6 linked regions of the Tribolium castaneum genome follow. The protein of the gene in region 1 interacts with the protein of each later gene in a pairwise test. Links are inferred from orthologs where the notes say so. Each region holds a gene or a part of one and is shown in the gene's direction. Other genes may lie near its edges. The genes, in order: sip1; leukocyte receptor cluster member 1 homolog; bys; Bx42; methyltransferase-like protein 17, mitochondrial; Tip60.

Region 1 (3,533 bases):
AATCCTCGAATTCGATTAGGCGTGTAAAGATTATTATCCGTTCTAAATTTTGTAACTTTATTTCTAATGGTTTTTGAAATATTGAAAAAAACTCTCTAAAAGAAGCATCCCTTTCAGGGGATGTAGCTCCCTTAGGGAGTATTTTTCGATACATGTTTATAAAAAACTTTTCTCTTAAAATTAAATGTTCTATCATCTGTTTAAATTTGTAACAATAAAAACGGAACACCTGTAGGTTCCTTCGCTTAATTTAGCAGTTATTCTGAATTTTTTACGGCTTGCACCGACGTAATCGCCTTTTTTGGTTATTTCACGTCACCACTTTATGGCTGATTTTTTTAATTTTTTGGATACATTTTCAGGAGAACCACTACGAGGAGTTTGTGAGGTACGAATTGGGTGAATTGGCGCCTGGTTTGGTTGGTCCTCTTTTGACATCGGCCCTCGCCAGTTGGTCGCCACTGACCAATCCCAAGCAATACATGGAAATTTTTGCCCGTTGGAAGGACATTCTGGAGAAGCCCAGACAACGTGGGACACTAGAAGGTAATAATATGGGAATTCAGCCATATGATAGTCTCTTATGGCACACTTGGATGCCTGTAATGCGAATTTGTGTTAGGTAAGTTACTTTATTGTTTTCCGACACTCGTTGTCACTTTAGGAAGTTTCTAATGATAACACGAATTTTGTATTATGGTCGTGTGTGCTGTATATTCACCATACTTTGATTAAAAAAAGCAAAACAAGCACACTTGTCGGGAATAAATCTAAGTCGAATCGATTTCGTTACAGTGCTTGGAATCCAAAAGATTGTGATCCTCTGATAACGCTGATTGAAACCTGGATGCCGTTATTGCCGCAGTGGATATTGGACAACATTTACGACCAACTTATCATGCCTCGAATCCAGGCTGAAGTCAATATCTGGAATCCCCTGACAGACACAATCCCAATTCATGTCTGGATACATCCCTGGATACCTTTACTCGATACCAGACTTCAAGCTATTATTTATCCAATAATTCAGGAAAAACTCGGTGTGGCTTTAACAAACTGGCACCCGTCTGATAAATCAGCCAAGCCAATGTTAAAACCGTGGCAAAGAGTGCTACCAGATGGCGTCTTCGTTGCATTCCTGCTCAAACACATTGTACCAAAGCTACAGCTTTGTATGCAAAACTTAGTTATAAACCCACATCAACAACATTTAGGTTGGTGCCGTTCTGTTTTTAGCAACACAAAAAATTAACGAATTAATTTCAGACGCATGGTATTGGGTCATGGATTGGAGTGATATGTTATCAGTCGGGAACATGACACTCATTTTAGATAAATTTTTCTTCCCCAGATGGCGACAAACTCTAGCCATGTGGTTGAATCACAACCCGAATTATGCAGAAGTCACTGATTGGTACACGGGCTGGAAAAATATGCTTTCGGACGAGTTATTAGCACAACCCACCATTAAAGGTTCGATCATTTTTAATTAATTAAGGTAGTAAAACAAATGCAGGCGTTAAATGAATCCGCAAAGAGTTAAAATTGACAAAATCAATGTGGAAGTTGATACCTTTCTTCCCGGGTTGAGGCATTTTTCAATGTCAACAAGGTTTTACAAATGCAAATAAATCGAATTGGAGTTAAAGAGCGAAAGCTGTAAAGATGAAATTTAAAATTTTGTTCTGAGTGATCCTTGTATAGAGTCAACATTAAATTTATGTTGACCCGGTGTCCGAAGATTAAACAAGTAAGAAATTTTATTTTCAATAACTATATTACTTACTTTTTTGTATTTTCAACCATATCTCTGCATTTTCAGAAATATAACATATAACCCGGAACGCAAATTGATAATTGCTTATAATTTTTTACACTAGTAGTCGTACCCTTTTTAACAATTCAATTAGGATTTATCTGTATTTATAGTCTTTTATAATTGAAATGGACGCATTCGTTCCACTCAGGCCCTCCTAAATATACTTTAAAACAAATGCAATAAGCTATAACGTAAAGAAGGTAAAATTAAATTTTATAATTGTATTTTTTACTAAATCTAAAATTTGAATTCTTAAAGTTCAGTTTTTTCCTTGTTTTGTTTGTCAAGTTCATTTAAAATTGTACATAAAAAATACGTTCCAGTTAAAAGAAAAGTCAAATTAGTACTGCTTTAGTAAGATTCTCACCAAAGATTTGACAACCAATTAACAAACTTCAATGGGATCATCAAGGTAACACGTTTTTATTTAGACAGTAATTAGGTAATAGAATATCAACTCTTAAAGTTCCATACTTTGTCCCTGAACAGTCACTTCTTTCGTATAGTATTTTAACTTGGGGCCATTCTTCTTGTCGCCATCGATTGTTCTCATTACAGAGACGAATAATTCTAATAATTAACTTTTCGTTATCATTCGGAAAACCATACTTACAATACTCGTACTAGTAACAAGCTTATCATAAAAGACAGTAGTCTTAAATGAAACCAAACTGGACTAAGATACCATTGCACTAAATTTTATATGTTGACTAGTTTTTGTAATTTATTACCTTTATGTATTTTTACAAGGAAGCTTAAAGAGTTTTTAATTGTGAATTATCTGCTATATATTTTCAGTAAGCTGTAAGTTTTATTTTTAGTATGTTTCTTATTTTATTGACTTGTGTTACGAACTTATGACAGTTTTTAAACACCAACAAGACTACCTACGATAAGTCTTCGAGATGCTGTGCTACTTTTAACTATAGTTACTCCTTTTGTTGTAACTATACAGGCTGTAAATGAATATGAAATACATACATTAATTATTAATCAAAACCAATTTTCCCTAATAACTTTTCTTCAAAACCTTTTAGTTTTTTAATTTAAAATTGTTTTAAAGTCTTACACAATTTTCTTACACGCCACTGAACGCAATGTTATCTAGTCAACAAGATTACCGTTTCCAAGCAAGTTCATGAAAATGAATAAAATATATTATTACTTTTCTTTGTTGGAACATTTCATAAAAGGCTCTTCAATTTGTAAGAGGAAAGATGATTTTAAAAAATGCGATTTTGCAAAAATGGTACATAGAAAAAGTGTTTGTCTTGATGAGTTTTGCCACTCGTTAAAATTAATGTGCTTTCTTCGCTTACACCTTGTATTTAAGAAAGCTAAATCCAATTTGCCAATAAGGTAATAAAAGCATCTAATGGATACTTGAAACAAACTTTTGACAAAAATGAAGATTTCTGTTAACAGGGATTTGTTTTAAAGTTATACAGCCAAATTTTGTTCCAATGTGTAATGTGAAATTAATGTAACTACTACTGATAGTTTAATCAATGGCAATTATTTAAACACGAAAGATTACCTAGCATATCATTATTTTACCTAGTAAATTTTATATCAATACCAAGCATTTCTACCTAGCAAATGGTTATTATTTACCTAGCAGGTCATTAGTATCCATAATTAAAGGCCTGTTAGGACAAAATACATGTAGTTCTAAAATAAAAGCCAGATATTTTCCCAGTTTTCTACGGTACGC
Region 2 (2,814 bases), on another chromosome or scaffold:
CCGTCCTCGCTACTGTGCAGGAGATAATTATGGGGGCCCTCATTAAACAATTTCAAATATGCCGTAGACTCATCCTCCGCGTCCATTACCCCCAAAAGTGTGGCAATTGATTATTTAACCATTTTTTAATCTGAAAAAAAATTCTAACCTCAAATTTTAAAATGGAGCTTATGCACCTAATAATTTAACCAAAAACAAACCCTTGTAATGTGTTATTCAATTGTGCCGAGTGATATTGACAGGAAAGTGGTTTATTTTCGAAAAAAATGCAATTTTTTGTGAAATGTCACGAGTGACATAACCTCACTTTGCCACAATTTGTTTTTTTTTCACAATTTTCAATACGAAATTTGATAGAAAAAGGAATGGAGGTAATAAATTTACCGTGTGTATCGTTTTTTTAGCCCAAAAAGTTAGAAAAACCGTGAAATTTGAAAACTGGGCAACACTTTAAGGTTAGGTGTTTTTGTATGCGCATGCGCATACGTGGGGTCACTTTGAAAAATGAAACACTTTTTTAATTACCTAATTTATTAACTACAAGCAAACACTTTGGTCAATCACAAGAGCCGTCGGCCCACCCGTCCCTCCATCTCTCGTTAACTTTGGAACAATCAAATTCAGGTTTACCTAACTTATTGTTAACTCTATTATGCAATCTACAAAGCCACTGACTTAGGTCTTCCTGAGAGGCGATTTGAGGTGGATCTGCCTTCAGCCTGGAAGAAATCATTTAAAATTTAATAATTAAACACTGTAATTACTCTTTGCGCAAATCTTCGGCACAAAAATCACAGGGATAAAACTTGGAAAATAACGTAAAAAAACTAGTCATGTCTTTCTGTTCGGTCCTGGTGGGGTTTTCGGGGTATTTCGCTGCAATAGTGTGAAGGAGCCCCCACGAACTACGTCCCAACTCATCCTTATCCAGGGGACAATCGGTCCGGAATGTCCCCGAGCCAGTGGTCGAAGACACCTACAAATCGTGTGACTTTAACCAGGTTTTACCAAAATAAGGGGGCCCCACTTCTCCGGAACTTTCTTCATAAGCCTGGCGTCGTGCGATTTTCGCGTAGTCCGAGAAACTTGTACACTGGCGACACTTTTCGGTATCGAGGGGCGAAGGCCGGCGCGACATCACGGCAAATGCATTATTAAACGAATAAATGCAACTTTGGAAATTGTTGGTTAAGTTTGTGCAAAAATGTAAATGACTGTCAAAATTGACAGGTAGAAAGAAACACAAGATAGGATTTTCCCTGAGTTGGAAAAGGATGACGATAAGTGTCACCTTGACGTTTGACACTTGAATGACAGTAATGTTGTAAATAGTTAAAGGGATGAATATTCTTCCAAAGAAAAGGTTGGTTGTTTGATTTAGGCACAGTCAGGTCCAATGTTGTGTTTAGGTGGCATGTGCGCTCCAAAGACAACATCGCCCGGGTTCGCAGGGACGAGGCCAAGGCGGCTGAGGAGGAAAAAGCCCGCAAAGATCGGGCAAAATTGGCCGAACGCGAGGCCAGAACTGAACTATTGAGGCAAAGGGCACGTGAACGTGTCCCCACGAATGATTTTATTCCCCTCAGTAAGGAAGAAGCGCCTGCTCAGACCAGTCATGTCAATTTTTTCCAAGAGGTTGAGGAAGGTATTGCTGACACTAAAACTACGAACAAAGAACACGAAAAGGAACAAAAGGAAGAGAAAGAAAAGTACGAGAAACAAATCGGTTACTTGACTTATCTGGGGCAGGACACTAACGAGGCTTTAGGGAAGAAAAATTGGTATGACGAGCTACCAGACAGGTTCAGGAATGATAAAACCGAAGTGGGGCTTAAAAGTAAACTTCGGGAAGATCCCTTAAGTGTGATGAAGAAATTTCTGGGGGATTCTGGTGTGGGTGTGAAGAAGAGTGAAGAGCCGGTGCATAAAGCCGTAGCCTTGACGCTCAAGACGATTGAGAAAAAGGCGAAAAAACGGGCAAGGAGTAGCAGTGAAGAGAGTAGAAAAAGTAAGAAGAAGCACAAAAAGAAGAAGAAGAAGCGGAAGAAACGCTCCAGTGGTGAGTCGGATTCGGAAGAAGAGAGAGTCGATTTTGAGAAGAAGCGGAAGTTGGAACTTTTGAGGATGGAAAGGTTGAAACGTGAGAGGGAAGAGAGAAAGAGAACTGAAGGGCTTTTGGCCAAATTACGCGGGGAAAAGACGGAGGAAGAAAAAGAGAAGCCTCAAACTGGGGGCAAAAAGTACAATAATCAGTTCAATCCAGAACTGGCAAGGCAGAATTATAAATAAAGATCTTAAAATCCAATTGCATTTCCTTATTTATTCACGAAATATTTTTTTAATCGAATAGTTTACCGAACTTATTTGAACAATGTCTCACAAAAAATTAATAATAAAGCATTCATCTTTTAAATATAACTAATCTGTATGTTCAAGAACTAAAGATTTGACTGATTTCTCAAAAGCTTTTTGACCAAATCAGGCCAAAAACAAACCGCTCTCTGGACTAAACGTTTCATTACAGAAAAAAATCAGGGAGGGACAAATAAAAGACAAAAATTCCGGTGATAGAATTTTATTCGTAAAAAATTACTTTTCTAATCTTAGCTCATAAATTTGTATATAAGCCTCCGTCAGCGTAATCATCTGCGGCAAAATATCCGTCACATGCAAGTCCTGCATCTCGTACCACTTGCCCGTTGATTTTTGCAAAATATGAACCCTGTAAGTGCCTTTCCCCGGCTCTCCATCATGCACAATATTCGCCACTAGATCATAGACCGTATGTTTATGTTTGGCCTTAACTTCGGGCGT
Region 3 (3,398 bases), on another chromosome or scaffold:
TTTTTTCCAAAAGTTCGAGAATCCAGGTCAGGACTTCTTGCCTGTCCATGAGGCCCTCCTCATACATGTATTTGAGCAACTGTGTGCAGTAAATCCAATGACGCATTGCGAGTTTTTGCTCAGTTTCGGTGGTCGCAGCCTGGGTCAGAGAAGGGGTTTGAGGGGGCTTTTCACCTTGGGAGTAATAGTCTTGCAGTTTGAGGATTTGTTCTTTGAGGAATTTTAGCATCGTTCCGGTCCATTCTACAAGAAATTGTAGTTAAGTGTAAAGTTAATACAAGTAATAAAATAGAGACCTGTAGTCGGGTCTGGCATTTGCCGTTTTTTGATTTTGGCCTCGGACACGGCAACTGTGTAAGCCGAACTCAACTTGATAAACCAGGCGGCCCGCATCATAGGCACCTGATACTCGCACAGCATTATAAAAATCTCCTCTTTCTTGTTGAAATTGGGCGCTTTTTTCGACAAGTGCATCAATGGTTTGTTCCCAGCTAGATCCTTAAACCAGAGTTCTATGGCATTTTTTGTTCGTATTGTGGCGGGCCAGAAGTTGTCTTTGGGGTTGATTTGTTGCCGCTTCCTGCCGGAATCGGGCAACATGCTCAACTCCTCTTTGCGTTTGATAATGTCATTGAAATAATCCCCGACTTTGCTTGCCGAAATATTGCAGTTTCTGGCCGTTCCAAATTCGTCGCTTAAGTGGGTCATTGTCAGGAACCCATGTTTAACGTTGACACTCGTCAACTCGTCTTCTTTTTGCTTCGGTTCTTGCGGGTAAACGTCCGGAGGGCCGATTTTCGGCTTTTTCAAAGGTCGTTTTTCGTACAAAAGGCTGCTATTGAACATTTTGGCACAATTTGGGATTGCTATTATTTTGAACACTGACAAGGGGGCCTTTAGGCAGCTCCAATGTAACGCATCGCTACAATTTAATTAAAATCTCGACCCCGGGGGCTTCATTGCGGGGGAAAGTGCCAACACCTAAACGAGAGGATGGGAGCTAATATTTCAGTTTTTACACCGATTTAGACAAATAAAAAAACGACAAAGTATTGAACAAGCATTATGTAAGCTTAATTAGGAAAAAATGTAGTGATAAATTACCGTTTTGACGAAATAAACACACTTTTATGCACCAACAACACAAGTTTTGAAGATGGTGTCCTCCATCTTGACCTCTAGGGATAATAAAAAAATCCCTGCTAATTGCTTAATTTTATCGAATTTTAAACTAATAGCGCAATAGTTTAAAAAGCGAATTTTTAGAAAATTAATTTTGCAAAATATTTTACCCGATTTGACCCAATCTCGTACTTAATGCTGCTGTTTTCCAATTTAATTTTAAATTGCCAATGTCGCCAACCCAAACCTCTGACAAGTCCTTTTAGGTTACGTCCAGATAGTTTGAAGACACGTGTGGTAAACAAATAGGGATAATGGGCAAAGCAAAGCGCCTGAAGCCGTCTCAGATGGGCACCAAGGTGCCCCTGGACCAGGACATCGAGGACGCGAAGTTTGCCAAGTCGAAAAACCGCAACAAAATCCGTCTAAGACAAGACGACGATGAACAAGTTTGTATCGCTTTATGATTGTCTAAAACCAATAAAAAATTCCAGTTTGTGGACTCGAACCTCTCGCGGAAGATTCTCTCAGCCGCCCGAGAGCAGCAACGCGAGCTGGACTCAAGTTTCGGCCCCACGCCGTCCGAGGCAAGTTCAAGCAAGTTTAAAGTGTCCAAACTGGGGGACGATGACTCCGAACCGGAAGAGGAAGACACCCTCGAACCGGACACGTTTTACGAAAACATTGAAATCAATGAAGAGGATGAGAAAGCTTTAGAGAAGTTCATGAGTAGCAATCCGGCCCCGAGACGCACTTTGGGGGATATTTTGGCCGAGAAGTTTACCGAAGTTAAGACGCATTTTAGCGAGGAAGGCTCGGTCAAAATGCAGGAGTTGGACCCACGGGTGGAACAAATGTATCAAGGGGTGAGGGATGTTTTGCGGAAATATAGGAGCGGCAAGTTGCCGAAAGCGTTCAAAATCATCCCCAACTTGCGGAATTGGGAACAAATCTTATACATCACGGGTAATTAAAATCATTGTTGATGCCCAGCGGTTAATTAAGTTTTAGATCCGCCAAGTTGGTCAGCTGCTGCCATGTACCAAGCCACCCGTATTTTCGCCTCAAACCTCAAGGAAAAAATGGCTCAGAGGTTCTATAATTTGGTTTTGTTGCCCCGAATTCGCGACGACTTGGCCGAATACAAGCGACTCAATTTCCACTTATATCAAGCCTTGAGGAAAGCCCTGTTCAAACCTGGGGGCTTCATGAAGGGAATTCTCCTACCACTGCTTGAAAGTGGCGATTGTACGCTCAGGGAAGCTATTATAATAGGCTCAGTTGTCGCAAGAAACTCTATTCCTATTTTGCATTCTTCTGCCGCGATTTTGAAAATCGCGGAAATGGATTACACCGGCGCCAATTCGATTTTTTTGCGTATTTTCTTCGATAAAAGATACGCGTTGCCGTATCGTGTTGTGGACGCAGTTGTGTTCCACTTTTTGAGATTCGAGCGAGATTCCAGGGAATTACCCGTTTTGTGGCATCAGGCTTTCCTGACATTTGTACAAAGATACAAAGCTGATATTTCAAGCGAGCAAAGGGACAGTTTATTAGAATTATTAAAGAAGCAAAACCACCACGCTATCACACCAGAGATCAGAAGAGAAATTCAAAATGCGAAATGTCGAGACGCTGAAACCGCCGAACCAAAAATGGACTTTGACTAAATTAATGGTTACATAATTGTGATAATTATATTGAAAAAAATCGGTTACAACAAGACTATTAATAAAAACTTGGAAAAATTAGGAAAATTATGTTACTTAAACCAGAACTAATTAACGTCAATACGATTTGTTCCTAACTTAGGGATAAACTAGTGCTCCCTAATCTCTATTCATCCAAATAATGACTTTCAACAACAAATAAGCGACTCCAAAACCAACTAGAAACTTCTCCTTTTGGAGCCGGCTCAAGTTTTCTAATTCTAAGGCCATCACACGTCTGTTGAGCTTCGCCATTTGCCGCCTGAGGTGCAGCACCTCTTCGGCGGCCGTCAGCCTCTCGCCGCTGCCCCCGATCGGGGGCGTAGTCTCGCGTATCGTCAGATTCAAATCCGAATCATCAAACGCCTGTTTTTTCTTTGGTTTAACCACCGGAATCTGGTTCAGTTCCGGGTCCTCCATCTCCTCAAGAGTGGGAAAGGGGTACTTGTCCAGAGTCAAAGTCCTGGGCGGGGTCGCAACCCGCACATCCCCGGGGTACGGTTCTGGGGGAAGGATCGAGTTGTCAAAGACAATTTCGCGTGGGGGCGCCCTTGTCCCTAGAATCCT
Region 4 (4,071 bases), on another chromosome or scaffold:
GACTCAATCTTAAGATATTTTAAGGCAAAGAACTAAAGACAATGAAGTAAAGAAATACTGCGTTTCGTTGCTTGAGAAATACGGAAGTTTTGATTACACGAAGAAAGTGTTGGCAGAACTGAAGCAAGAGGCCCAAGATGAAGTTGATAAGTTGGGGGAAAACCCGTACATGGCCGAAGTAATGGAGTATATTTTTAAGTTGGAATAATTTTTTCATGATCAAATTAAATTATTGTGATATCTATATTAAGTTGCTACAATAAACACTATTTCATCGATTGTTCCTTTTTTTTGTTATTATGGAGCAAACAGACACCGTGTACTGTCTGTGCTAAGACTAATTTTCTTTCTCTGAGTACTGAATAGTTAGTCAAAAAACGTTACTAAAATTAGTACCGCACCTTACAATTTCTGCATAAGAATGCTTTATTTCACCTTTTGAAGCGTCAAAATGTTTAAATTAAAGCTATAATTAATACTCAACTAAAATGTGCACTTACCAAAGAAGGGTGGAAATATTCCTGCAAATGTTCCTCCTCTGAATAAGATTGTCTTTAAATAACGAGAAACAAACCCACTAACACCATAAATCCTTACTAATACACAAACTAAACACTAAAACAGCGTTAAACAAAAATAATGCTAAACTACAAAACATGACAGGTGCTAAAAGGCGCGCCGATATTGCAGCACTACCAACGTAACAGTGTAACAGAAGTACCAACACCAAAAAAGCGCGAATTTCAATAGTAAACAGCCTTCGGTTGAATATGTTTTAGTGTTTTTAGTTCAATTTAGTGCTAGACACAGTTCTACAGCGGTTAAAAATTACAGTGTGTTATGGTGTTAGTTCCAAAATTCAAATTTCACTTTAGTGCTCTAAGGCACTTATTTATATGTTGGAGAAGTACATTTTCAAAATTAGAAGTTCACAAACACCACCAATTATTGCCAATTATCAATGGCAACCGCACGATACATGAATGTTTTTCTAAATTTTTGGAAAAATATTAAAAAATTTATTGTTTTTTGTTTATTCTACGTAAGTAAAGGGTCTGCTTGTTGAAGTAACTAGTAGCTAAAAGTCTGTGAGTGGTTGTGCATCTTTTTTTTTGGGGATACCCTCACGTTAAAAATACAGACTGATCCAGAAATACTGAGTCTGTTGGCGACACTGGACTTAAATTTTTAAGGATACTAATGGAATACGCTTCCAGTTAACAACAATTTAACATTCTTGTGGGGTTGTACGTCAAATAGTTGTCAAGAAAAATCGAATTCGGTTGCAATGTTACAAATTACAAGCACAAACACTTTCAAATGTGTTGCCAACAGACTCAGTATTTCTGGATCAGTCTGTATTTTCGAACTTATAGAACTTCGGAACAAACAATCTATGCTCAACCGCGCCCTCTACAAATCATTCCGTCTATTTGACGTTTTAGTAGTGGCGTTAATTTGGGTGTATTTATAAAACAGAATTACACACAATAATCCATTACTTAGTTGCGTTTTTTAAGTACAAATTGCTTTGAATATCGCACAGCGATAATATAATATCAAGATTTTGCGGAAATTGTTTTCCCGAAAGCCACTGTTGTGCAATCGATTTTTACATATTTTCCGATTTACTAGTGAAGTAAAACAATAAAAACTTACATTAATGAGTGCAGTGTGAATATTTTACGCTATTGTCAAGTTTTTGCTGATTTAGGAAAAGAAATGGAATTATCCAGGTAACCTAACCTCACTTTTGGGCTTGTAGAGTAAGACGCATTTATTTTGTAGTTTATTGCCCGCCCCCATACAACCCGTATGGGATCGGGACGACGAGAGACGGCAACAGAATGCCACAACTCAACGTTCCACATCTGTTGTAACAGCCCAAAGCATTGCCCCACCGTATGGACAAAGAAGGGGTTGGGTCCCACGAGTCCACACCGACTATGGAGGTAATTAGCCACCGATTTTTTGTAATTAAATTTAACTACGATGGGACCAACTTTTTTGATTGGTCCTATTAAATTTTATTACAAATAATCAGTCAAGGACGTCGAAAAGTTTTCACTATCACTGATTTTATTGCAATTTATAGATGGAGGCGCATTTCCCGAAATCCACGTGGCCCAGTACCCTCTTGACATGGGGCGAAAGGGCAAAGAATCAACTTCAAACGCCTTGGCCGTCCAATTGGACGCAGAAGGCAAAGTCAAATACGACGTAATCGCACGTCAAGGCCACGGCAAAGACAAAATCGTCTATTCAAAACTCTCCGATTTGTTACCAGTTGAAGTAACCACAGAAAATGACCCAAGTCTTGCTAAACCATCTCAGGAGGAAATCGAAGATATCACAGAAAAAACCCGTCAAGCATTACAACGCCTAACAAATTCAAAAATCGCAGCTGCAATGCCAGTCAGATGTGCCGAAAAACAAGGCCCCGCTGAATTTATTCGTTACACCCCTTCACAACAAGGGGCCGCCTTCAACTCGGGTGCCAAACAGCGCGTCATTCGTTTGGTCGAAGCACAAGTTGATCCAATGGAGCCCCCACGTTTCAAGATCAATAAGAAGATCCCAAGGGGGCCCCCTTCGCCCCCAGCGCCCGTTTTGCACAGCCCCACACGTCGTGTCACTGTTAAGGAGCAAAAGGAGTGGAAAATCCCGCCCTGTATTTCAAATTGGAAAAATGCAAAGGGTTACACAGTTCCGTTAGATAAGCGTTTAGCTGCAGATGGTCGGGGGTTGCAACAGTTGCACATCAACGAGAATTTCGCAAAGTTGGCTGAGGCTCTATATATTGCCGATAGAAAAGCACGAGAGGCTGTGGAAACACGCGCCCAACTCGAGAAAAAACTAGCTCAGAAGGAAAAGGAACAAAAGGAGGAGCATTTGAGACAGTTGGCTCAAAAAGCTCGAGATGAACGTGCTGGGATCAAAGTCGCTGATGCTAAAATCACAGATGAGGAGGAACGTGAGAGAGAAATGCTGAGACAGGACCGGCATAAGGAGCGAGCAAGAGAGAGAAACTTGGCAAGGGCTGCTCCCGATAAGCGTTCAAAGTTGAAGAGGGAGCGAGAGCGAGATATTTCCGAGCAGATTGCTTTGGGGATGCCTGCCAGAGGAGTCTCCTCAAACGAGGTGCAGTTTGATCAGAGATTATTCGGACAGGCTCAAGGTTTGGGGCATGGATATGGGGACGATGACGCGTATAATGTTTATGATAAGCCGTGGAGGGAGGGGGGCTCAATGGCCAATCACTTGTACAGACCTAGTAGGAATGTGGATAAGGAGGTATACGGTGAAGATTTGGAGAAAATCGTCAAAACGAACCGATTTGTTCCGGATAAGGAGTTTAGTGGAACTGATCGGAATGCGCCAAGGTCTGGACCTGTACAATTTGAGAAAGAGGAAGATCCGTTCGGGTTAGATCAGTTCTTGAGTCAGGCTAAACGGGCGAGCAAACGCAAGGAACCGGAGAGGAGGGATGAGAGGGATAAGCGAAAGAGAAGAGATTAAAATATTGATTGTATTTGGGTTTTTTAAATAAATACAATTGTAGAAATTTTTTGTTGTATTATTGAGCAATGGCAGCGTTTGCTGCAATACTTGGGCTGTTGATGACTTCACCCAGACTCTCCAAGAGCTCTTTGCGGTAGTCGTCGAAGTCGCCGTCTAATTCGTTTATGGTCTGGTCTTCTATTACGTACAAGGCGCAATCAGTTTCACTGTAACAAAATTAGTAATTTTTTTTTACACAAAACAATAAAATTGAGTTTTATGGTCGAGCCGAAATTGTTACAAAAACTCGATGGAATTTCATCTTAATTTAAATTAACGAACAAATTAAGTAGCTAATGCAAATTAAAAATTAAATTCACTTCTAATAGTGCTGGTAAACGCATACTTCGCAGCCTGAAATTAGGACGAAAAATATAAAATTTCTATAAAGGGAGGCGAAAAAAGAAAAGAAAGAGTACATTTATTTGCTCTTACCGTATAAGTCGTTCGTCGTGGCTCACTATAATAACCCCTCCACTGAAGTCGTTAATGGCCTCAGCTAGTGCATCA
Region 5 (2,871 bases), on another chromosome or scaffold:
AGAATTATTAATAGTATTATTTGGGTAGTAATAAACGATCAGCAATAAATTCGATTTTGATCAGTAAAGAATAATAAATGATCAGTATTTAATACTTATATTATTTTATAAAACTTCTCGGTTTTTTAATAATAAGAAAATAATAAAAAAGTTGTTTGGTTAGAGTTATTAAAAATCTTTGTTTCATTTCTTTAGATTTTATTAGGAGATAAAATTATTATAAAAAAATGTTTTTTAAAAGACGAGGTTTTTTCGTTTCCTGAAAAATTAATTAACTAGTCCTCAATTTTTTTACAAAACAAGGTCTGGTATCTGTCGTTAATTCGTGAAAGCTTATCTGTACTTGAATTTTCAGATTTTTTCTGTTTTCGTTTTTATTAGAATCGCATTCTATTTGCTTTGAATTTCACACAACAGATAGTATATTTAAAGAATTTAAAAAGATCGCATTTAATTTATTTAATTACCATTTTTCGAAATAATCTTTTTGTGACGTTTTTATTTTGAATTAAAATGAAAAATATTTGTTAAAATTCATAAAGCGTATTTACCGCGATTATATAATATTTACCTTGACATTTATCAATAAAAATAAATGAAGTTTTGGTGAAAAGGTGGTAGATCGAATATTAGCCATATTTCAGATTGATTTGTGATTCAAAATCTGCTCATTCTAAATTTTTCTCAGAATGAAAGACACATCAAAGGAAAAGAGAATTTATAGCACAGTTGGGTTTAAAATTTGGATTCTGTTTGAAAAAAATGCTACTTTTACAATTACAAATATTTTTTAAGCCTCAAATACAAATTAGGTCATTGTTTTCACAAACGAATTTAGAATACCAAAAAATCTTAAGTAACTAATACTTTAATACTTTAATTTAATAGCCTAAAACGGAACCAAACTGGACCAAGATGTTATTGCACCAAATTTTATAATATGTTGCCAACTAATTTTTGTAATTTATGTTTTTAAAAGAAAGTTAAAAGATTTTTTAATTGTGAACTTTGTCTATGACTTTGATGAATATTTTCGTTGCAATTTCAGTGACTTTTAGATTTTTTTTAGTTTGTACGTTTCTTATTTTATTGACTTGTGTTATGTTTTAAACACCAATAAAACTATTTCTATTTCTATTTTTAATACTTACAATACACTCTCTTTCGTGTAAAAAAGTCGAAAAAAGGGGGCTGGGTTAACGTTATTATATGAAACTTAAAATTTGATTATCAATAATTAACTACTAGATTGTCCATTTTTTAAGGGCGGCGAATTTATATTGGAAGAAACACATTTTCGAATACTTCAACGTGGACTCATCCAGAGACATGAACGACTTAGCCCAAATCCTACTCCAAGACGGAAAAGGCACAAACAAAATGTCTCTACGGGGTGTTTTTTATCGCCAGTTTTTGCCCGCAACTAATGTTTGTAATTTTATTTACCATAACAGCAATTTGAAATAATTCTTCCAGACAACCTACGATTTAGTCGTCTGTGCTTACACATTACTGGAACTACCATCACGACAGGCCCGATTAGACACAATTTTAAATTTATGGAACAAAACACAAAAATATCTTGTTGTAGTCGACCATGGCACAAATGCCGGATTTCAAGTAAATTTTTATTAAAAATTTATTTCATTTAAAAAAATACACTACGATTTTAGGTGGTTAACGAAATCAGAGATTTTATTCTTCACACAAAAGTTGGACACGTCTTCAGTCCAGTAGGTTTTTATTTTCGGTTATTTACGTGATAATTTTGAAAATTTCAGTGTCCACATGACGAAGTTTGTCCGAGATTTGCCCAAAACGATGGCACTCCTTGCAATTTTGAAACATTTTATTTCAGCTTACCAGTAGGAGCTGTTAGTTTAAGGAAATCGGAAAAATATTCATACGTTGTTTTAAAGAAAGGTATTTCGCAAAAAAATATTTTTTTCACGATGGTTTTATTTATTTTATAGGAGAAAGGGACCCTTTGGACCCTCAATGGCCACGAATTATTAGAAACACTTTAGTTAGGTCAAAACATACGATTTGTAGAATGTGTACCAAAAATGCAAATTTGGACGAAGTCATTTTTACAGCCTCAAAACATGGAAAAAACTTATTTTATTGTGCGAGAGCTGCAAAGTGGGGTGATTTGCTCCCAGTTTCGCTCGAGAAACAAGCCAAAGAAGAGGAAGACAATGAAGAAGAGGCGAGGTAACAGGTACGTCACTTGCGCCAACAATAAACGAAAATAAATTTATTTGTAAATGTTTTAATTACAAAACTAAAACTGCAGATTGTCTTATGAATCTTAAGATATTGTAATTTACCACATATTACACTTTTATTTGATTATTATGTCAACACAATTTTGTTTAATCCTCTAAAACTTAACTAATAACACAACATAATGAACTAATTTCGTGTATGAAAAACTCCATCTCCTTGCTTTCCTAAATACATCGACCAACTTTGCTCGTCCTGAGGCAAGAATTTGGCACATCGTTCGTCAGCTTTCTTAACGTCACACACGCATTCTATTCTCACTCGATAGACGGTCATTTGACCGAGACTGAGTTCGAGAATTCGGTTAAATTCGACAAATTGCTGCTTTAGACTTTCTTGTTCGGTGCGGCATTCGTTTATGTACAACTCCTTTTGCTCTTTTTCGGTGTTTTTCGTGTAGGTATGGCCTTGGTCTGTAACGAAATAAAAAAGTGGTTATGGCTTTGCGGAAGAGGAAAAAATTGCAAACTTGTACTAATTTGTGCAAAATCTTATAGTGCAACAAAATATTTGATTTGTGCAAGAAAAGTATCACTTTTTACAGCTTATGTCTCCGTATGGGACTTAATAAAGAAACATTGAGTA
Region 6 (3,893 bases), about 5.8 Mb from region 1:
AGTAACAAACTGAATAAATTGAACGAAACGGCACAATACACAATAATTTAAATAAACCGCCTCACCTCACCTCGCTTCGCTTCGCCCCGCCTCCCGGTCCCGCTCCCGATCTGACCCGTGCCGCTGCTCGCTGTCGACTGAAGCGCTCTCGCCGCCTGCGCCGCACACCTAACCTCGGGACACGTCACGGATGTGACGTCACACAAGTCTAAAACAGGTCATTACCAGAAATATTCACTGTCAAAATCCGTCAAATTTAGTAACATTCATACACAGAATTATTCAAAATAGAACAGCATTGATCTAGAAAAATTAATTATGACAAATGTATTTGCCTATAAACGTCTAAAATTATAAAAGTTTCGCATGCAGTCAATGGAAAAATAAAAATGCATATTTTTATTTAAACAGAAACTGGCAATGTGAAATTTTGGTGCGAAAAGTTTTATCACACGAGCCGACAATTCTTTCAGACTAGCCGTGTTATGTGTTATGTTGCTCACAAAACGGACAACAAGGGGGTTATCACGGAGACTCAGCTGTGACGAACGAATTTTATTTTTACATAAAGGTGATTTATTTGTTACCTCAGTCAAATTTTTCAGCGCGATTATTTCAGGCGGCAAAGTGCGCAATTTGTTTTTGTGCAACTGGAGCGACTTCAAGTTGTGCAAATTGGCGATATTTGACGGCAAACTCTCGATTAAGTTATCGCAAAGCACCAAAGCCTGCAGTTGCTTCAGTTGGCCTAGAGTTGAAGGAACTTCCACTAATTGATTGCCACCCATCGACAAGATTTGAAGGCTGCAATCATTATCACGTGTGGTCGTTTTAATCGTCCCCACTTACCAGTTTAATTTCTTTATGTTTTTCGGTATTGTTTTAATTTTATTCCCTCTTAGGTACAGGTACTTTAAATTAGTAAACTCAAACAGTTGTTCGGGAACTGTTCGAAAACATTCCCGCTCAGGTTTAACTCCTGCATGCTCGCACTCTCAGCGAAACTTTTCGGGAGGGATTCGTTACTGAAGCGATTATTTTTCGCAACCAGTGTTGTTAAATGCCAGTACTCGAAAACATCAGGTAAGGTCATAAGGCCGTTGTTGCTGATATGGAGGACTTGGACGTTTGTGACTTTTGACAAGTTTTTGGGGAGCGTTGTGAGTTGGTTGTGGTGCAAAATAATCGACTCTATGTCTTCTCGTTTTGCACAGTCCTTGCCTAGTTCGTCCAAATTTTCTTCGAGTTGTTGCGAATCCAAGAGCAAATAGGCGAAACTCCGTTTGAACTGTGGGCTGCGATTAGGAGAACGCTGCGTTCAAGCGAAGCTAAGGTCAAACGTGTTATCACCAATTTGTGAACAAAGCTTGGTGAGGCGTTAATTTAACAATGAGTCTGAGAATGGAATTGTGTGATTTTATCGAGTGTGCTGGTTTCGGGGGAAACCCCCGAGCAACACCCTACGCCCATGACTAGATAATGATAATTTATTAAATAGTAGACACTTGTGTGTATTGTTTCGGTTCGCCGAATGTGCATATACAGATAAGTCGCATCAAAACATTATTTTGGATAACAATTATGCAATGGAAAAAAATCGTTATGGATATTGCGCATTATGTTTTTTGCGGTAGTTGTGGTGGTGAGGTTTGTTCGGCAATAATTACAATTTTTCCCCCCGAAATTGTGAAAAACAAGCAGAATCGATGAAAGTGGAAATGGAGGAAATCGACGACAGCACAATTTGTGATTCTGTGGTATATTTTCATTAAAAATTGCAAAACCAAAATGTTGACACAACCTCACTTTTAGAATTCGTTAGTGGAAGGATGCAGGCTCCCGGTTCACATGACCGGCACTTCCGACTGGCGTAAGCCCCACTTTGGCACATTTTGCACGTTTTTATGTTTTAAATTGCAGCTTTGGCCGAAATTATCAGTATTAAGGACGTGCAAGGCTCGAAATTGTACTACGTCCATTACGTTGATTGTAAGATTGGACACCCGTTTCGTTCCTTGTGAACTAACTTGGGTTTTAGTTAACAAGCGTTTGGACGAATGGGTGACCGAAGAATCGCTCGACACTCGTAAAGTCCACTTCCCGAGACGTGACGGCGGGAGTAACACTGGAGTCTCAACTCCGAAAAAAATTCACATTGGGGGCGGTGGTGCCATCGGTTCGGTATCAAGGCCCTCGAGCCCTGTGACAGCTGCCTCCGAACTTGTCAACGGCAGTGCTGTCCTAGCAGCAGCGTTGCAAAAACGCATAAATAGGAAACGAAAAGGGCCGTCTCTTGAGAGCGAAGACTCGCAAGATGGGCCCACACAGATGCCCCCAGGGCCGAGGCAGTCTGGGAGCATGGTGTCGCACCATGACGATGTGGTCACCAGGATGAAGAACATCGATATGATCGAGTTAGGGAAACACAGGATAAAGCCGTGGTATTTTGCGCCATATCCGCAAGAAATGGTCAACTTGAGCTGTATATACATCTGCGAGTTTTGCCTCAAGTACCGAAAGAGCAGGAAGTGTCTAGAACGCCACTTGGTCAAATGTAATTTGAGACACCCGCCCGGAAATGAGATTTATCGCAAGGAAAACGTCTCGTTTTTTGAAATTGACGGGCGGAAAAATAAAGTCTACGCCCAGAATTTGTGTTTGTTGGCGAAGCTGTTCCTCGATCATAAAACACTGTATTACGACACGGACCCGTTTTTGTTTTACGTAATGACCATTTTTGATAATAGAGGGTTTCACATTGTTGGCTATTTTTCGAAAGAGAAGGAATCAACGGAAGATTTTAACGTCGCGTGTATTTTAACCATGCCTCCGTATCAGCGAAAGGGTTACGGAAAATTACTAATCGAATTTAGTGAGTTTGAGTGCGAATTTTTGTTGTCGAAATTTCACGAATTGTTTCAGGTTATGAATTATCAAAGTTCGAAGGTAAAACGGGTTCTCCCGAAAAACCTCTCTCCGATTTGGGTTTGCTTTCGTATAGGAGTTACTGGGCACAAGCTATTTTAGAAATCTTAATATCAATGAAGCCAGTGGGTGATAACGAGAAGCCACAAATAACGATCAAGTAAGTATTTTTGATTATTTCTTTATTTTTCGTAATTGTGAAATGTTTGTTCACTTTAAAGTGAAATTTGTGAGTTGACAAGTATTAAAAAAGAAGACGTCATCTCAACTTTACAAAACTTAAACTTAATCAATTATTACAAAGGCCAGTATATTATAACGTTAAATCAGGAAATTATGCAAAGTCACAAAAAAGCCATGGATAGTAGACTTATCCGAATCGACCCCAAGTGTCTGCATTGGACACCTAAAGATTGGGGCAAACGCGCCAAGTGGTAGATCAATAAATGATTTTTTACATTTTCTCTTTTATTAACATATTCCTCTGCCAATCCACACTGTTCCTCCTCACTTAATAATAGTAACACTGCGAACTTGTGTTTTGACGGAGAAACATGGAGAAAACACCGGGTTCAGTAGTACATTTTTTACGAAAATGCATTTTGTTTGTATTTACTGGCACATTTTACGTCCAAGATATTATTAAGTCGAAAGTGGTATTATTTTTGCGTTTACGCATATTTTTTATTTAGAAACTCACTAGTTTCGCAATTGTCAGATTTTACTCTGAAAATCGTCGAATTATTTTTATTAAAGCGAAGTGTGAGTTAAAGTGGACTACTTTTCAAACGTTTTAGTCGTTTTTCATCACCTTGTGAATTTTGAAATCAATGAACTTGCGATTGCAAAACTAATCTTCAATTAATAAAAAAATGAAACGTTTTCCGTTGTTTATTCGTACGTTTTATTGTGTAATATTTTGTTTTGGGTTTGTTTATAATACTGATGGGAGAGGATGTGGGTTAATC

The links.
Region 2: the proteins of sip1 (region 1) and leukocyte receptor cluster member 1 homolog interact in binary tests that used the Homo sapiens proteins (3 or more experiments, as listed by UniProt). The link is inferred for Tribolium castaneum from reciprocal best matches to the Homo sapiens genes TFIP11 and LENG1.
Region 3: the proteins of sip1 (region 1) and bys interact in binary tests that used the Homo sapiens proteins (3 or more experiments, as listed by UniProt). The link is inferred for Tribolium castaneum from reciprocal best matches to the Homo sapiens genes TFIP11 and BYSL.
Region 4: the proteins of sip1 (region 1) and Bx42 interact in binary tests that used the Homo sapiens proteins (3 or more experiments, as listed by UniProt). The link is inferred for Tribolium castaneum from reciprocal best matches to the Homo sapiens genes TFIP11 and SNW1.
Region 5: the proteins of sip1 (region 1) and methyltransferase-like protein 17, mitochondrial interact in binary tests that used the Homo sapiens proteins (3 or more experiments, as listed by UniProt). The link is inferred for Tribolium castaneum from reciprocal best matches to the Homo sapiens genes TFIP11 and METTL17.
Region 6: the proteins of sip1 (region 1) and Tip60 interact in binary tests that used the Homo sapiens proteins (3 or more experiments, as listed by UniProt). The link is inferred for Tribolium castaneum from reciprocal best matches to the Homo sapiens genes TFIP11 and KAT5.

The regions. Positions count from the first base shown.
Region 1 is NC_087402.1:11,591,438-11,594,970, forward strand, and holds part of sip1 (sip1/TFIP11 interacting protein), read left to right. Parts: intron 1-362; coding exon 363-622; intron 623-795; coding exon 796-1,214; intron 1,215-1,266; coding exon 1,267-1,473; intron 1,474-3,533. UniProt on the Homo sapiens protein: Involved in pre-mRNA splicing, specifically in spliceosome disassembly during late-stage splicing events. Intron turnover seems to proceed through reactions in two lariat-intron associated complexes termed Intron Large (IL) and Intron Small (IS).
Region 2 is NC_087394.1:36,567,319-36,570,132, forward strand, and holds leukocyte receptor cluster member 1 homolog, read left to right. Parts: upstream 1-1,235; 5' UTR 1,236-1,340; coding exon 1,341-1,363; intron 1,364-1,409; coding exon 1,410-2,289; 3' UTR 2,290-2,305; downstream 2,306-2,814. Other genes in the region: oocyte zinc finger protein XlCOF6, read right to left, coding at 1-86; FAD-linked sulfhydryl oxidase ALR, read right to left, coding at 557-719, 765-976, 1,028-1,138; Usp39 (ubiquitin carboxyl-terminal hydrolase 39), read right to left, coding at 2,590-2,814.
Region 3 is NC_087398.1:4,030,323-4,033,720, forward strand, and holds bys (bystin), read left to right. Parts: upstream 1-1,350; 5' UTR 1,351-1,436; coding exon 1,437-1,571; intron 1,572-1,616; coding exon 1,617-2,088; intron 2,089-2,133; coding exon 2,134-2,792; 3' UTR 2,793-2,879; downstream 2,880-3,398. Other genes in the region: kto (mediator of RNA polymerase II transcription subunit 12), read right to left, coding at 1-243, 297-846; Tango11 (transport and Golgi organization protein 11), read right to left, coding at 2,952-3,388. UniProt on the Homo sapiens protein: Required for processing of 20S pre-rRNA precursor and biogenesis of 40S ribosomal subunits. May be required for trophinin-dependent regulation of cell adhesion during implantation of human embryos.
Region 4 is NC_087397.1:9,848,804-9,852,874, reverse strand, and holds Bx42 (puff-specific protein Bx42), read left to right. Parts: upstream 1-1,414; 5' UTR 1,415-1,722; coding exon 1,723-1,736; intron 1,737-1,788; coding exon 1,789-1,952; intron 1,953-2,095; coding exon 2,096-3,519; 3' UTR 3,520-3,567; downstream 3,568-4,071. Other genes in the region: qm (terpene synthase), read left to right, coding at 15-208; ATP-binding cassette sub-family F member 1, read right to left, coding at 3,578-3,728, 3,997-4,071. UniProt on the Homo sapiens protein: Involved in pre-mRNA splicing as component of the spliceosome. As a component of the minor spliceosome, involved in the splicing of U12-type introns in pre-mRNAs.
Region 5 is NC_087394.1:11,231,892-11,234,762, reverse strand, and holds the end of methyltransferase-like protein 17, mitochondrial, read left to right. Parts: intron 1-1,265; coding exon 1,266-1,428; intron 1,429-1,476; coding exon 1,477-1,620; intron 1,621-1,673; coding exon 1,674-1,733; intron 1,734-1,781; coding exon 1,782-1,923; intron 1,924-1,973; coding exon 1,974-2,218; 3' UTR 2,219-2,358; downstream 2,359-2,871. Other genes in the region: uncharacterized protein LOC135265467, read right to left, coding at 2,416-2,699. UniProt on the Homo sapiens protein: Mitochondrial ribosome (mitoribosome) assembly factor. Binds at the interface of the head and body domains of the mitochondrial small ribosomal subunit (mt-SSU), occluding the mRNA channel and preventing compaction of the head domain towards the body.
Region 6 is NC_087402.1:5,803,533-5,807,425, forward strand, and holds Tip60 (histone acetyltransferase Tip60), read left to right. Parts: upstream 1-1,311; 5' UTR 1,312-1,706; coding exon 1,707-1,757; intron 1,758-1,812; coding exon 1,813-1,870; intron 1,871-1,920; coding exon 1,921-1,989; intron 1,990-2,038; coding exon 2,039-2,872; intron 2,873-2,922; coding exon 2,923-3,085; intron 3,086-3,146; coding exon 3,147-3,363; 3' UTR 3,364-3,384; downstream 3,385-3,893. UniProt on the Homo sapiens protein: Catalytic subunit of the NuA4 histone acetyltransferase complex, a multiprotein complex involved in transcriptional activation of select genes principally by acetylation of nucleosomal histones H2A and H4.